Linked DNA regions of Saccharomyces cerevisiae S288C. The gene in region 2 interacts genetically with the main gene of each other region. Each region holds a gene or a part of one and is shown on either strand. Other genes may lie near its edges.

What was found. Genes that interact genetically often act in the same process or in processes that back each other up.
Region 1: mutations in EMP65 (region 2) and ERV15 together harm fitness more than expected from each alone (negative genetic interaction), as found in Saccharomyces cerevisiae (2 studies listed by BioGRID).

What each region holds. Positions count from the first base shown.
Region 1 is NC_001134.8:641,299-646,478, reverse strand, and holds ERV15 (Erv15p), read right to left. Parts: upstream 930-5,180; coding exon 501-929; downstream 1-500. Other genes in the region: AME1 (Ame1p), read left to right, coding at 1-321; YBR209W (uncharacterized protein), read right to left, coding at 3,579-3,896; DUR12 (bifunctional urea carboxylase/allophanate hydrolase), read left to right, coding at 4,269-5,180.
Region 2 is NC_001137.3:445,276-453,788, forward strand, and holds EMP65 (Emp65p), read left to right. Parts: upstream 1-6,289; coding exon 6,290-7,960; downstream 7,961-8,513. Other genes in the region: YER137C-A (gag protein), read right to left, coding at 2,427-3,749; YER138W-A (uncharacterized protein), read left to right, coding at 4,199-4,303; RNA polymerase II subunit B1 CTD phosphatase RTR1, read right to left, coding at 5,288-5,968; COX15 (Cox15p), read left to right, coding at 8,184-8,513. UniProt on the Saccharomyces cerevisiae protein: May be involved in membrane protein folding.

The DNA.
Region 1 (5,180 bases), on a different chromosome or scaffold from region 2:
CAGATAATATCGGTACGAAATGAAATTCAAGAGTTGAAAGCCGGTAAAGACTGGCATGACTTACAAAATGAACAAGCCAAACTGAACGACAAAGTGAAGCTAAATAAGAGGCTAAATGATTTGACTTCTACTTTGCTAGGCAAATACGAGGGAGATCGCAAAATTATGAGCCAAGATAGCGAGGACGATTCAATACGGGATGACTCAAATATTCTGGATATTGCACATTTCGTAGACTTGATGGATCCATATAACGGACTTCTGAAAAAGATAAATAAAATTAATGAAAATCTTTCTAACGAATTACAACCAAGTCTATAGGGAATTGGTTCAAAAGATGTATATATATATATATATATATATATATGTATGTATATATGTATATATGTATATATGTATTACTTCCATACTAAGGAAGTTGTGTTATAAGGTCATTTTTATGTGGTAGACATACTTCATAGATATGCACAAATCTCTCTTTTTTTTTCCTGTTGTCGCTATTAGCTTATCAAATTTGCATCATTTTCAAGTAACGCTGTGACCATTCTGTAGAAGTAGAAAAAGAATATGAGAAGGTAAAATCCCAATTTTAAAAAGCATTCAATTTTGCATCTACCCAATTTTCTGAAAATATCCGTGGCGTCCAGTAGATGTGTTTTCTTGTAGACTTTACTTGCGTTATATGCTAGAACAGGGACATTCAAGAGAAATACGAACCAGTACCCGTTAAAAAGAAACAATGCAGAAATGAAAGCTTGTAGAATTGCCTCTGGTACACTCAACCTATTCACCCTCTTACACAGTTCGATTGAGTTGATATAGTCTGCTTCAAGATCACCATATAATATAGTAAAGTATATCTGGCAAATGGAATTCAAACAATTCAGTATAAGACCCGTCACGAATAGCGATAATCCGGTTCCTGACATCTTTACTCTTGGCTTCGAACTTCTTGGTGCCTGCAGTTAGTTTTATCTTTAGTAAAAAATGATAATGAAAGTGCTTATATGAATAAAGGTATTAATGTCTTCGTATTTAGCAATGTAATTGAAAAATCATTCGTGGCCCACGACAATATTTCCAAATTATCACAGCTTTCGATAGAAGTGAACGATTTTGAATTAGAGAGAGTAGTAGTGAGCTAGACGTACTGTGTTTTGAGAATTGAAGTTTGTATAGCAAAACTATACTATCATAATGCAACATTCAAGAAAAATAATGGTATAGAAACAAAAAATAACTCCGATACGGGGAGTCGAACCCCGGTCTCCACGGTGAAAGCGTGATGTGATAGCCGTTACACTATATCGGATAATAACTTATGTTTGATTTAACCTTAAAGATTTTCTATGTCAAGTTTAAACTGGAGGGCTTTCTATTGCCGAACAATCCTAGCTAAAGGCTTTTTTCCCTATTTACAGAAGAAAATGTAATGACTGAAGATTTTGAAAGGTCTCGTTTGATGGCTAGCAGGCTACACCTAGAATTACCCAATTCCAAAGGTTGGTCATCATAGGAAAACAACCAGCATGAACCTTACCCTAGTTCTCTTGCTACTATTTCACATCATCAGGTGATGTCAACTCAGCTTATTGTCAGTGACGACGGATTAGCATTGATACCTGATGTCATTTTAACACGTGTGTTGGATGGGATCCTATACACACCCAAAGAAGATGATTTTTACAACGACACCACCACCATGTATTATGTTTTTGCCACCTGGGGTGATCAAAGTTGGTCATCCTTCGGTTATGATAATACAGCAAGCCTGCAAGAGCACGAAAGATATGTTTTCTAACTTCTTGCCGAGCAGGGAATATTGGGGATTTGGACCGTTGGAATAAATGGGTCCTCAATATTGACAGGAGTCGGTTTTGGAATGAGAATTAACTATCATTTAGTGATGGTAATCCTATTACTAGAATATTATCAGATACAATGTTAGAGGACAATAGGAATACATAAAATAGAAGAAATAATGATGGCATTACATCGAAATATCGATTACACTATATCTTGGAGGAGAACTTTTTATTTTATTTTGTATATCTGATGCTATAGCCTCTAACAATAAGTTAATCCCAACAACTATCTCAATATTCATATAATCGTCTGAGAGATTGATAACAGCTAGTAATGTAGCTAACAGTCAAAAGATAATAAATGATTCATCTTCCAACAGCTTGCGGGGAAAGTTTTTCACACTAATGTGCGGTGTTGTTTTCCTTAACAGGCTCTGAGCAAAATATGGAGAGAGAGGTCTCATTTACTTTGCCATTCTTCATTTAAGCTTGAGGCTTGTTCTACTGAAATGTTAAGTTCTCAGAAGCCAACTTTGGATCAAAGGGCTTTGTTAGTAGCAAAACGCTATTTCTATTGATTTTGATTATTTTTCGAAACATTAAGAGCACAATGTATATTAATTTTCCCTGATGAATAGTTAAGATGATTAGATGGGCTAGGCGCTTAAAAATGAGAAACAGGTGAAATTTGAGATAAATGTTGATTTCGTTGTTGCTAAAGGCTATAATATCAGGTATACAAAATATACTGGAAATATACCTCGAGAATCTTGGAATCCACGAAAGGGAATAGATATTACTCCATAATAATATTATGTTGGAACGAGAGTAATTAATAGTGACATGAGTTGCTATGGTAACAATTCAATGCTTACATCGTATATTAATGTACAACTCGTATACGTTTAAGTGTGATTGCGCCTATTGCAGAAGGAATGTTAAACGAGAAGCTCAGACAATACTGAAGCTGTGTTAAAGACCTATTAGTTGAACATGTTATGGTAGGTACATATATGAGGAATATGAGTCGTCACATCAATGTATAGTAACTACCGGAATCACTATTATATTGGTCATGATTAATATGACCAATCGGCGTGTGTTTTATATACCTCTCTTATTTAGTATAAGAAGATCAGTAATTATTTCTTCATTAATACTAATTTTTAACCTCTAATTATCAACATATTATTTCTCCTTTCGTTTTATCTGATGTCATTCATTGATTGCCAGCAACTATCCCAAACCTCATGTGATTCTCGGATTCCTTACCACGAAAAAACAGATGTGTAAGTGTATTTGAACACACAATAATAAAAATGATTATCATTCCCAGATGGAGGAGCCCATTCCAAACATAGCAAAATTCAGCACATCCTCTTCGTTAGCATTTCCGTATGGAAGCAACCCTCAGTCCAACAAATACCGTTTAAACAAATGAGCGACATTTATTCGCTTTTTCTAAAATAAAGGTCCCCGCTGAAACTTCTTTGCATACAGTTCAAATATTCCACCGTTCTCTTATATGTGGGGCTGGCACTACTTCGTATAATTGACTATACTATCTATATTAGTCTTCCCACATGTAATAGAAAGCTCGTATGGCGCAGTGGTAGCGCAGCAGATTGCAAATCTGTTGGTCCTTAGTTCGATCCTGAGTGCGAGCTTCTTTTTTTTTTTGCAATCCTTATTGAACTTTTTTTCTTGCTGCAGTCTCCTCAAAGGCAACATGTTCTTTGCTTTTTTTCCCCAACGACGTCGAACACATTAGTCCTATGGCTTGCTGCAGATAAGGCTACTATGTGTATTGGCAATACCCTTTTTAAAATTGGCAGATCTCTTATGGCGATCGCCGAACGCCAGGTTGTTAGCTAACTGCAACGGCACGCATCTTTGGCTGCATTTCGCCTCATCATTTACGCGCTTTTCCAGGCTTTTTCCCCTTATCAGATAAGATAAAAAAACGAACAATAAATAAGCTTCAGATAAGATAAGCAGGAAAGCGTTCCTAGCCCTACCGAGAAATGTGCGTTTATAGTTTGGTGCCTCTTTCTTGATTGACGCTCTATAATGAAACCAATATGCGTTCATTCCCCTATTTCATAGGGCACTCTGTTCGCAGTTAGCGCAAGCCATTGAGATAAGACACGCAGATGTTTTGCTTTTTCCTGCTTCTTAATTTGAATCGAGCTTTGTTAGACGTTGTTGGAAATTGAATGTTTGTATTTAAACACTAGAGCAGATGAGGTGTGAGATTTGTATACTCGCTCACTTCTGAATATCAGGCTCTCTTAGCTAAGCTTTTTTTTTCTAGGATCATATAGGCTCAAGTTTTTATAAGCTTATATTAATATATCAGTGGAGCAGCTGATATACACCAAATTTCAATTTACATTAATATAAAAGATAAAAAATAGAAATATCTTTTTTATAGTCACAATAAATTTCAGTTTTGATTAAAAAATGACAGTTAGTTCCGATACAACTGCTGAAATATCGTTAGGTTGGTCAATCCAAGACTGGATTGATTTCCACAAGTCATCAAGCTCCCAGGCTTCACTAAGGCTTCTTGAATCACTACTAGACTCTCAAAATGTTGCGCCAGTCGATAATGCGTGGATATCGCTAATTTCAAAGGAAAATTTACTGCACCAATTCCAAATTTTAAAGAGCAGAGAAAATAAAGAAACTCTACCTCTCTACGGTGTCCCTATTGCTGTTAAGGACAACATCGACGTTAGAGGTCTACCCACCACCGCTGCATGTCCATCCTTTGCATATGAGCCTTCCAAAGACTCTAAAGTAGTAGAACTACTAAGAAATGCAGGTGCGATAATCGTGGGTAAGACAAACTTGGACCAATTTGCCACAGGATTAGTCGGCACACGGTCTCCATATGGGAAAACACCTTGCGCTTTTAGCAAAGAGCATGTATCTGGTGGTTCCTCCGCTGGGTCAGCATCGGTGGTCGCCAGAGGTATCGTACCAATTGCATTGGGTACTGATACAGCAGGTTCTGGTAGAGTCCCAGCCGCCTTGAACAACCTGATTGGCCTAAAGCCAACAAAGGGCGTCTTTTCCTGTCAAGGTGTAGTTCCCGCTTGTAAATCTTTAGACTGCGTCTCCATCTTTGCATTAAACCTAAGTGATGCTGAACGCTGCTTCCGCATCATGTGCCAGCCAGATCCTGATAATGATGAATATTCTAGACCCTATGTTTCCAACCCTTTGAAAAAATTTTCAAGCAATGTAACGATTGCTATTCCTAAAAATATCCCATGGTATGGTGAAACCAAGAATCCTGTACTGTTTTCCAATGCTGTCGAAAATCTATCAAGAACGGGCGCTAACGTCATAGAAATTGATTTTGAGCCT
Region 2 (8,513 bases):
ATTTTTCTTTTTCTTTAATATCTTTATTATAGGTGATTGCCTCATCGTATCGTAAGGTTGTCCGTATTGGTTTGATTGATTTTACTGCTTTTACAGCTGCAATCAGGTGAATTCGTTTCTTCGATCTCGGAGGTTCTAAACTACGCATATTCTTAGTATTCCATGTGTCTCGTGATACCTTAATTTCAGTTTCATTATCTTCTAATGATCTTTTCTTACTGTTGATAGTAGTATAGGCATTAGAGTCACCAATACCACCCAAACTGGAATTAGTTTGATGAGAATTTATCGGTGGGAGTTCTTTAAATGGGTCAGGGAATTCGGTAGGAGATTCTGGAGGTAGATCAGGGAGTGGGAGATCAGCGATGATAGATTCCTCGGTATTCTGTTCAGAAACAGTAGTTGGCGTTTTGATAGGAACAATATTGTGCGATGAATTATTTTCCGGTGGAGAAGCATCGATTGAAGGTGAACGGTGTATAATCCTTTTCTCAGTCTCTTGGTCACTTATCTGCGGAACAGTTTTGTTGTTGGTACCACCCGTACTGGATATTGGTACGTTTGTATGATTAGTCTCATTTTCACTGTACGAGTCTGAGTGTCTGAAATCTTTAGATTTACTGGCGTGCGACGACTCATGTGTGTTAGATTGGGACATGGGAGCAAGTAAAGGAACATTTAATTTATGCATACCACCCGAACCGGTACTCTCGATATTGGAAATTTGGGGGGTGCTAGATCTCTTCTTTGATGGAAGAATATTAGATTCAGATATGTTGGGGTCAACTTCTCTGGGTGCGCGAATATTGGTTTTAGAAACACGTTTCGAATCTTCAGTATGAGTTGACGGAGGTGTGGAATCGGTTGGACTCACAGCTTTTGAAAGGACATTTCTCGGTTGCTCAGGATGTAGTTCGATGTCAGATTGGAAGTCATGGTCAGATTCTATGTTAAGATCATCGGATTGTTGGATCTCATTTGACGCAATGAACGATTGATATGAAGCAGTTAAACGGTTTAAGTCTTCATCGAAAGTGAGTGCGTCGTAATTGAATTGATCTAATCTGGATTCCTTGCCCTGAAGAATAACATAGTTAGTTGTATCTACTGTCTTCTTTAAGGATGGAAGATAGATGATATATCCATAAGAGTTTCGAGACGGATGTAGAGCGTAGCCTGGGATGCCACGAGGATGTATTTTGGAGTTAGGGTTGTGATCATTGACGATAACAGGTTGACCGAAAGGTAACAAAGTACTGATATCAAGTCCTGCCAAGCCAGCATGTTGTCTTGCAGATTTTTTGCTTTTAGGTGAAGCTAGTGAATTTCTCACAATAGTAGAAAATTCGATTGCAGAGAACCATAAATGGTTCGGTAAACCACTACATTGCAGTTGAGTACGGCAGTCATCTAATAAGGTACGGTTGAGCCGTTCAGCGACTCCATGTGCTCGGGAATCCGCTGTGGTTGTATAGCATGGAGTTATACCATTTTTTTCAAGGAATTTATGGAGAGTTCTGTTAGTATACTCAGAACCACGGTCCATTTGTATAACCAAGACACTGGCCTGAAACTGGTTCTTAATAAAAGCTAGTATCGTAGTAAAAACATCGAGGATAGAGTCCTCGCGACGGTCGTGTAATGGATAAACCCAACGGAATTTTGTTGTCTCATCAGTAAATGAGATGAAATAGGATGGTGCACTTTTTGGTAGGTTGTGAACTGGACCAAATATGTCAGTATGTAGGTATTGAAAGGGTTCGTATGAATTTTGGTATTTTAGTCGTGAACCTTTGATATGTCTGTGTTTGGTGCTTTTGCCGATTAAACAATCAGGACATTGATAGTCAATAGCACTAGACCAGTCGACATCTGATTCGTTAAAATACGTGATGGTGTTATTTTTAAGTGAGTATCGAATTGTCTGTGCATTGGCATGTGCAAGCATTCGATGAATGAAAGGATAAGGATATTTGCGTGTACTTTCACTTGTATGGACATTATTGATGGTGGGTACGGAGATATTTGATGGAAGCAAGTACTTTTTAGATACCCAGTAAAAGTCTCCATATTTTACGATAGGTGCAAGTACAGTGCCGTCAGATCGTTCTAAGACGTTTTTGGTAAAGCATGCTGTGATATCTACTGCAGCCAATTCATTCAAACTGAGTAAGTCATAGGCTATGTTAGGAGTGTGCAATACCTTTATTGATGTTTTGGTGTTGTCCTGGAAGTGAAATTGTAGGTCACCAATAGCGTTAATTGGTATATTTCTTTTTTGAGCATCAACTACGTTTATGTCAGGATTAGATGATGCTGAGTGTATGTGATGAGCAGATCTTATAAGGGTTCGTGATGCTCCTGAATCGAGAAGGAGGTGTCCAGGGAGTTCATCATCAGAATGATTAGTGTGATTTACCGTAGATTCAGTAAGTTCCTGGCCTAAGGTGAAGGTCGTGCTTATTGTTCAATTGAATCGGTTCAGTAGTTGATTTACTGATGGAATCGTTGTCCGTGCTGGGAGAGTTATTAGATGTGGATACATTGTGAGCCCTGGCTGTTTTCGATTTCGAATTATTTGTTTTTTGAGGATTCCGAGCTATAACTTTGGGTTTGGTTGTATTCGTATAGCTGCGAGAATCATTCTTCTCATCACTCAGATTTCTCCTGTAATTAGGTTTGCTGTTTCTCGATCCCTGTTGTTCTTCATAAATAGCATGGATATCTAAGAACAGTTCAGCGACTGTCATATTTAGATGTCGATGACGTGTGTAGCGTAAAAATTTATATTCGCCAGATAGACCTCTCATAATTAATTGGCATGCGACCTTGTTATTGATATGAATGCCATTATTGTTCAGTCTGTCGATAATGTTTGTGACTTTTGTTTCAAATGCATCTGCAGGTGTACTGCCATTATATTGCAAATTTGCCAGGGTCACAATGTCGTTTGCCTCTTGGGTATCAGATTGCATTTTTTCAATACTTTTGGAAAGAATTTTCATGATATCCGTATAATCAACGGATAGGATGTCTTTGACCCAGGTAGGTAGGAATTGAGAGGGAGCAAATATTTGAAAAGTGTTATACAAGAAGGTGAGTTCATCATCAGTGATCTGACGTACGGGTTTTCCGTTTACTGTCGGAATAATACCACCGAGATTCGAGTTTTGTAAAAATTTGATGTATGTTTTAACCCAATTTGGAAAGTCATTAGGTGAGGTTAACATTGGTGGTGGTCTGACATATTTTTTAGTGGATGTCATATCAGAGTCCGCTGAGGATGAATCAGTAAATGTATTACCTGACTCAGGTGATGGAGTGCTCAGAGGCGTTCCAACTGATGATGGATACTGCGGAAACTGTGATTGTGGCCCAGGTGGAAAGTACATAGGCGACATTTGATAAGGTGTATACGGAATCATAGATGGGTGTCCGTAAAATGACCAACCAGATGGATTGGCTTGGTTTTGGGTCATCATGCACTGCTGTGGGTACGGCCCATTCTGTGGAGGTGGTACTGAAGCAGGTTGAGGAGAGGCATGATGGGGGTTCTCTGGAACAGCTGATGAAGCAGGTGTTGTTGTCTGTTGAGAGTTAGCCTTAGTGGAAGCCTTCTCACATTCTTCTGTTTTGGAAGCTGAAACGTCTAACGGATCTTGATTTGTGTGGACTTCCTTAGAAGTAACCGAAGCACAGGCGCTACCATGAGAAATGGGTGAATGTTGAGATAATTGTTGGGATTCCATTGTTGATAAAGGCTATAATATTAGGTATACAGAATATACTAGAAGTTCTCCTCGAGGATATAGGAATCCTCAAAATGGAATCTATATTTCTACATACTAATATTACGATTATTCCTCATTCCGTTTTATATGTTTATATTCATTGATCCTATTACATTATCAATCCTTGCGTTTCAGCTTCCACTAATTTAGATGACTATTTCTCATCATTTGCGTCATCTTCTAACACCGTATATGATAATATACTAGTAATGTAAATACTAGTTAGTAGATGATAGTTGATTTCTATTCCAACACATCTACTAACTAGTATTTACGTTACTAGTATATTATCATATACGGTGTTAGAAGATGACGCAAATGATGAGAAATAGTCATCTAAATTAGTGGAAGCTGAAACGCAAGGATTGATAATGTAATAGGATCAATGAATATTAACATATAAAACGATGATAATAATATTTATAGAATTGTGTAGAATTGCAGATTCCCTTTTATGGATTCCTAAATCCTCGAGGAGAACTTCTAGTATATCTACATACCTAATATTATAACCTTAATCACAATGGAATCCCAACAATTACATCAAAATCCACATTCTCTACAAATGAAGAAACTGCTTATAGTCAATTGAACGATTTACCGGTATTTTAACGCCATTATATATATTAGTAAAAAGATGGCGTATATTGATGGACTAACAGGGTCAAATAAAATCATGAATTGACTAGTATATACTTATAAGTATATCGTTCTACACAAACTAGGAAGATGACATACATGATGAGAATTGGTTATCAAATTCCATGGATGCCGAAACGTAAAAGATTTACTAAATAGTAGGATAATTATTGATAACATACAAAACAAAAAAAAAAGAGACAATATTATTATCTAGAAGTGTCGACTTCCTTCTGTGGGTTTCCTATGTTCTCGAAGAGAGCTTCAAGTGTATTCTATAAACTAAGAATATTAGTTTAACGAAAGATCGAAGTCAGACACCTATCTAACTTTCATTAAATTATCACACAAAAATCCCACATACTCTCGTCTTGCTAAACAAATAATAAATTGAAGGTGAACGATTCTTCTTGCAGCGTCCTAGCTGTTGGGTCGTCTTAGATAAATATCTACTGTTCTGAATTGCCAAATTTTCCTTCTATTGTATCCATTCGATGCTGGACGGCCAGTTCTACCGTTATTGCCCAAAAGGAAGGAACGTCGCGATACTTCAACACATTAAATACTTGTTGATTTTCGAACCAAAACTCTGAAGCAACACTTTCGTATATGGATGGCCCTTCAGAGAAACCAATAGGTATGTAAAGAATTGCTACGTGGTGACTCAAAGTGAATTATAGCAAAGTTATAAAAGCGCTACATTGTAGAAAATTGAGAACCACATTTTGACATACACGAATAACAGTATTTTTGTCCTGGCGCTGTAAAGTATTTTAAGTTATGATGATGAATTAACTATTTTCAGCCAATGAAACGTCCATAATCTGTTCTGAATTTAGGTGCATTGATATAGCCGGTCAATCTTCCCTTGTGAAATCACCCAAAATGCTGGGATTATCATTCTCAACAATTTTGATTTGTGCCAACCACTTCGATAAATCATCTTCCAGCTCAGTATCATCTTTTTCTGTAGTCCCACTGTCAGGATTTAATCCTAACTTTTTGAGACCGGATATCAATGATTTAATGTCTTCTTCGGATGCCTTTTCTCTTAGCAACTCTTCAAACAAAGTCACTTTGAAATCTATATCGTGTTTGTCCTGTTCAGGATCTTCAAATAGGTGAACCCCTGTTCTTGCAAATAAAGCTTCATCAGATAGTTGCACTTGATAAAATTGGGAACATCTAAAATGGAACTTACTGCAATAGTGCGACAAATATGCATACGGATTGTTTTCTAATAAAAATTTCTTAGTAGTATCATTCATTGAAAATGGATCACGTATTCTTTCTGGCGATTTACCGCAAAGAGGATATCCGCATCTTTTGTTTAGATTCCTCTCATCTACTAGGTCTTGATACATATCCGGTGTGAGAAATCGGCCCAAATATTTCAATGTTTTCTCATCCTTGCATTCTGAATCACATAATAAGCCTATAATCTCTAAAGTTATAACTTCTGCTTCATGCATGGAAAGTTGCCTGTGCTTTTGGAAAGGGATTAACGCCGTTTCCTTAATATCTTCAATCGTCGCCATTTCTTATTCTTGTTAACTTCGTCCTAATTTTTCAAACTAAGATGCCGATGTATAGATATTTTAGACTGGGAATGTTTATGAATTGTTCAATTCGCTCCTCAATGTGTCTCTTTCTTCACTTTTCCATTGCTTTTGACCACTTCTGGATGCCAGCTGATTTTGTATTGTAGTATTCCTATTTCGGACAAAAATATCGGAAAGAGATGAAATAAGAAAATTAGTTACTTTTAATATCACGATGCTGTCTCTGAATCGACCTGATCGATCTATAAGGTGTATATATTATTCTACCGAGTAATCCAAAAAAAAAGCAGCACTCCCATGCAACACAAGGATACGGCAGTAGCGAAGGACACAGCTAAAAAACGTTTACTGAGAAGAAATAGTGCGCCGTCAGCTATACATATAATTTCACGATTAGACAAAAAGTGGTCCTTCCTATGGAATACTATAGATAGACACAATATTGTTGAAGAGCAAGATGAAAGTAGCGCTGCAAAAAGCGAAGAAGAACATGAGGATGATTATGAATTGGAACAATTACTCAACATGATAAGAATACCAATGTTCCTGGAAAAGTTCATGCTCTTTGCACTTTTAACAAGCTTGGACTGTTTTTTGTATTACTTTACTGTATTACCGATACGACTGATAAAGGGATATGTAAAGCAATTCAAGAGTTATCGTCAGCATTATCGCCTGCAACAACGGTCTGGGCATAAGAATAAAATACCCTTTCGATATAGAATAACTTCAAGAGAATATAAAGAGAGATGTATGATTTTTATCATCGTGATTTCATCCATTTTGTTGAGCAAACTAGACACCTCAAAACTATATCACAGGATAAAACGGCAAAGTACGATGAAATTGTACATGCTATTCAGTGTACTGGAAATGGCGGACAAAATGTTGGCAAGTTTGGGCCAGAGCTTATTAACGGTTATGCTTTCTAGGAAAAACTCGGAACGGATATTACTGCATAAATGTTTGTTAGTGTCAATGAGCTTGACATATGTGACTATACACGGCTATGTATTGGTTTACCAGGCCATTTCATTAAACATAGCCGTGAATTCGTATTCCAATGCCTTGCTAACTTTATTACTATCCATGCAATTTGCAGAAATCAAATCATCGGTTTTAAAGAAATTTGATAAGGAGGGATTTTTCCAAATAACCATTGCAGACGTAGTGGAAAGATTTAAGTTGACCTTATTATTGTCAATAACTGGCCTTAGGAACCTCCAGTCGTGGTCATCTTCATTATCGAACACAAGCATCAATTTCTGGAGTCCACGTTCCACATTATCAATCGTCATTAACATACTTTGTGGGCCGATGGTAAGCGTGGTAGGGAGTGAAGTGTTAGTGGATTGGGCAAAGCATGCTTACATCACAAAATTCAATCGGATCCGCCCACAGATATATGATAAGTTCTATTATATAATATACAAGGATTATTCTACGAGAACGCACAAATTAGAAGATAGATTGGGATTGCCTTTACCTGCATTCGTTGTCCTTTTTATTGTAATGGTGAGGCCAACACTTTTTAAATCATCGGAACCTTCTTACCTTCCTTCGCTATTTAGGATCCTCTTCATGGGGGCATCCGTGTTTTTACTAGCATTGTTGGCAAAATTTACACTAGATCTTATTTTAATCAAATGGAGCAAACGGATAGAGCAACGGTTCAGAGACCAAGCTTTCAATACCGTTGTAACTGAAGAAGAATACGTCCCAGGTTTACTCTCGGGCGGTATGGGTAAAGTCGACGTGTCTACAAGAATTGCATTACATTCTGATTACAATAAAGAGAATCGTATAGAGACCGAAAGTGTATCGCCAATGCGGAAAAGAAAAACTACTTTAACTGCTGAATGTACTCCTCCTAGCCTAAATGATATTAGAAGACAGAAAGATTCCAAGAATCCACGATCGCTTGAAAATGTCGCTCGCTATAAAATGGTTTCTAAAAGAATATGGTAATCTAAGATCCGCATTTATCGCGGCTTACGGCTTTCGGATATTTCGTATATTGCAAGGAGCAAAAAAGAAACCCTGCTTACTAAAAAGCTATTGTTTTGCAGTTTATAAGTTCTTGCCTTTTGAATTATTGATCTTTCCTTTATCGTTTATTTAGTTTCCTATTGTAACTTGGAACTGTATTATATAATAGTGCACAGCACTGAAGTTGTAACTACTGTACGTCATGCTTTTCAGAAACATAGAAGTGGGCAGGCAGGCAGCTAAGCTATTAACGAGAACCTCGAGTCGTTTGGCCTGGCAAAGTATTGGGGCCTCAAGGAATATTTCTACCATCAGACAACAAATCAGAAAGACTCAACTATATAATTTTAAGAAAACTGTGAGCATCCGTCCATTTTCTCTCTCCTCCCCTGTTTTTAAACCACATGTTGCTTCAGAATCAAACCCTATAGAATCACGTTTGAAGACCTCGAAGAATGTTGCTTACTGGTTAATAGGTACATCCGGTTTGGTATTTGGTATTGTTGTTCTTGGTGGGTTGACTAGACTAACA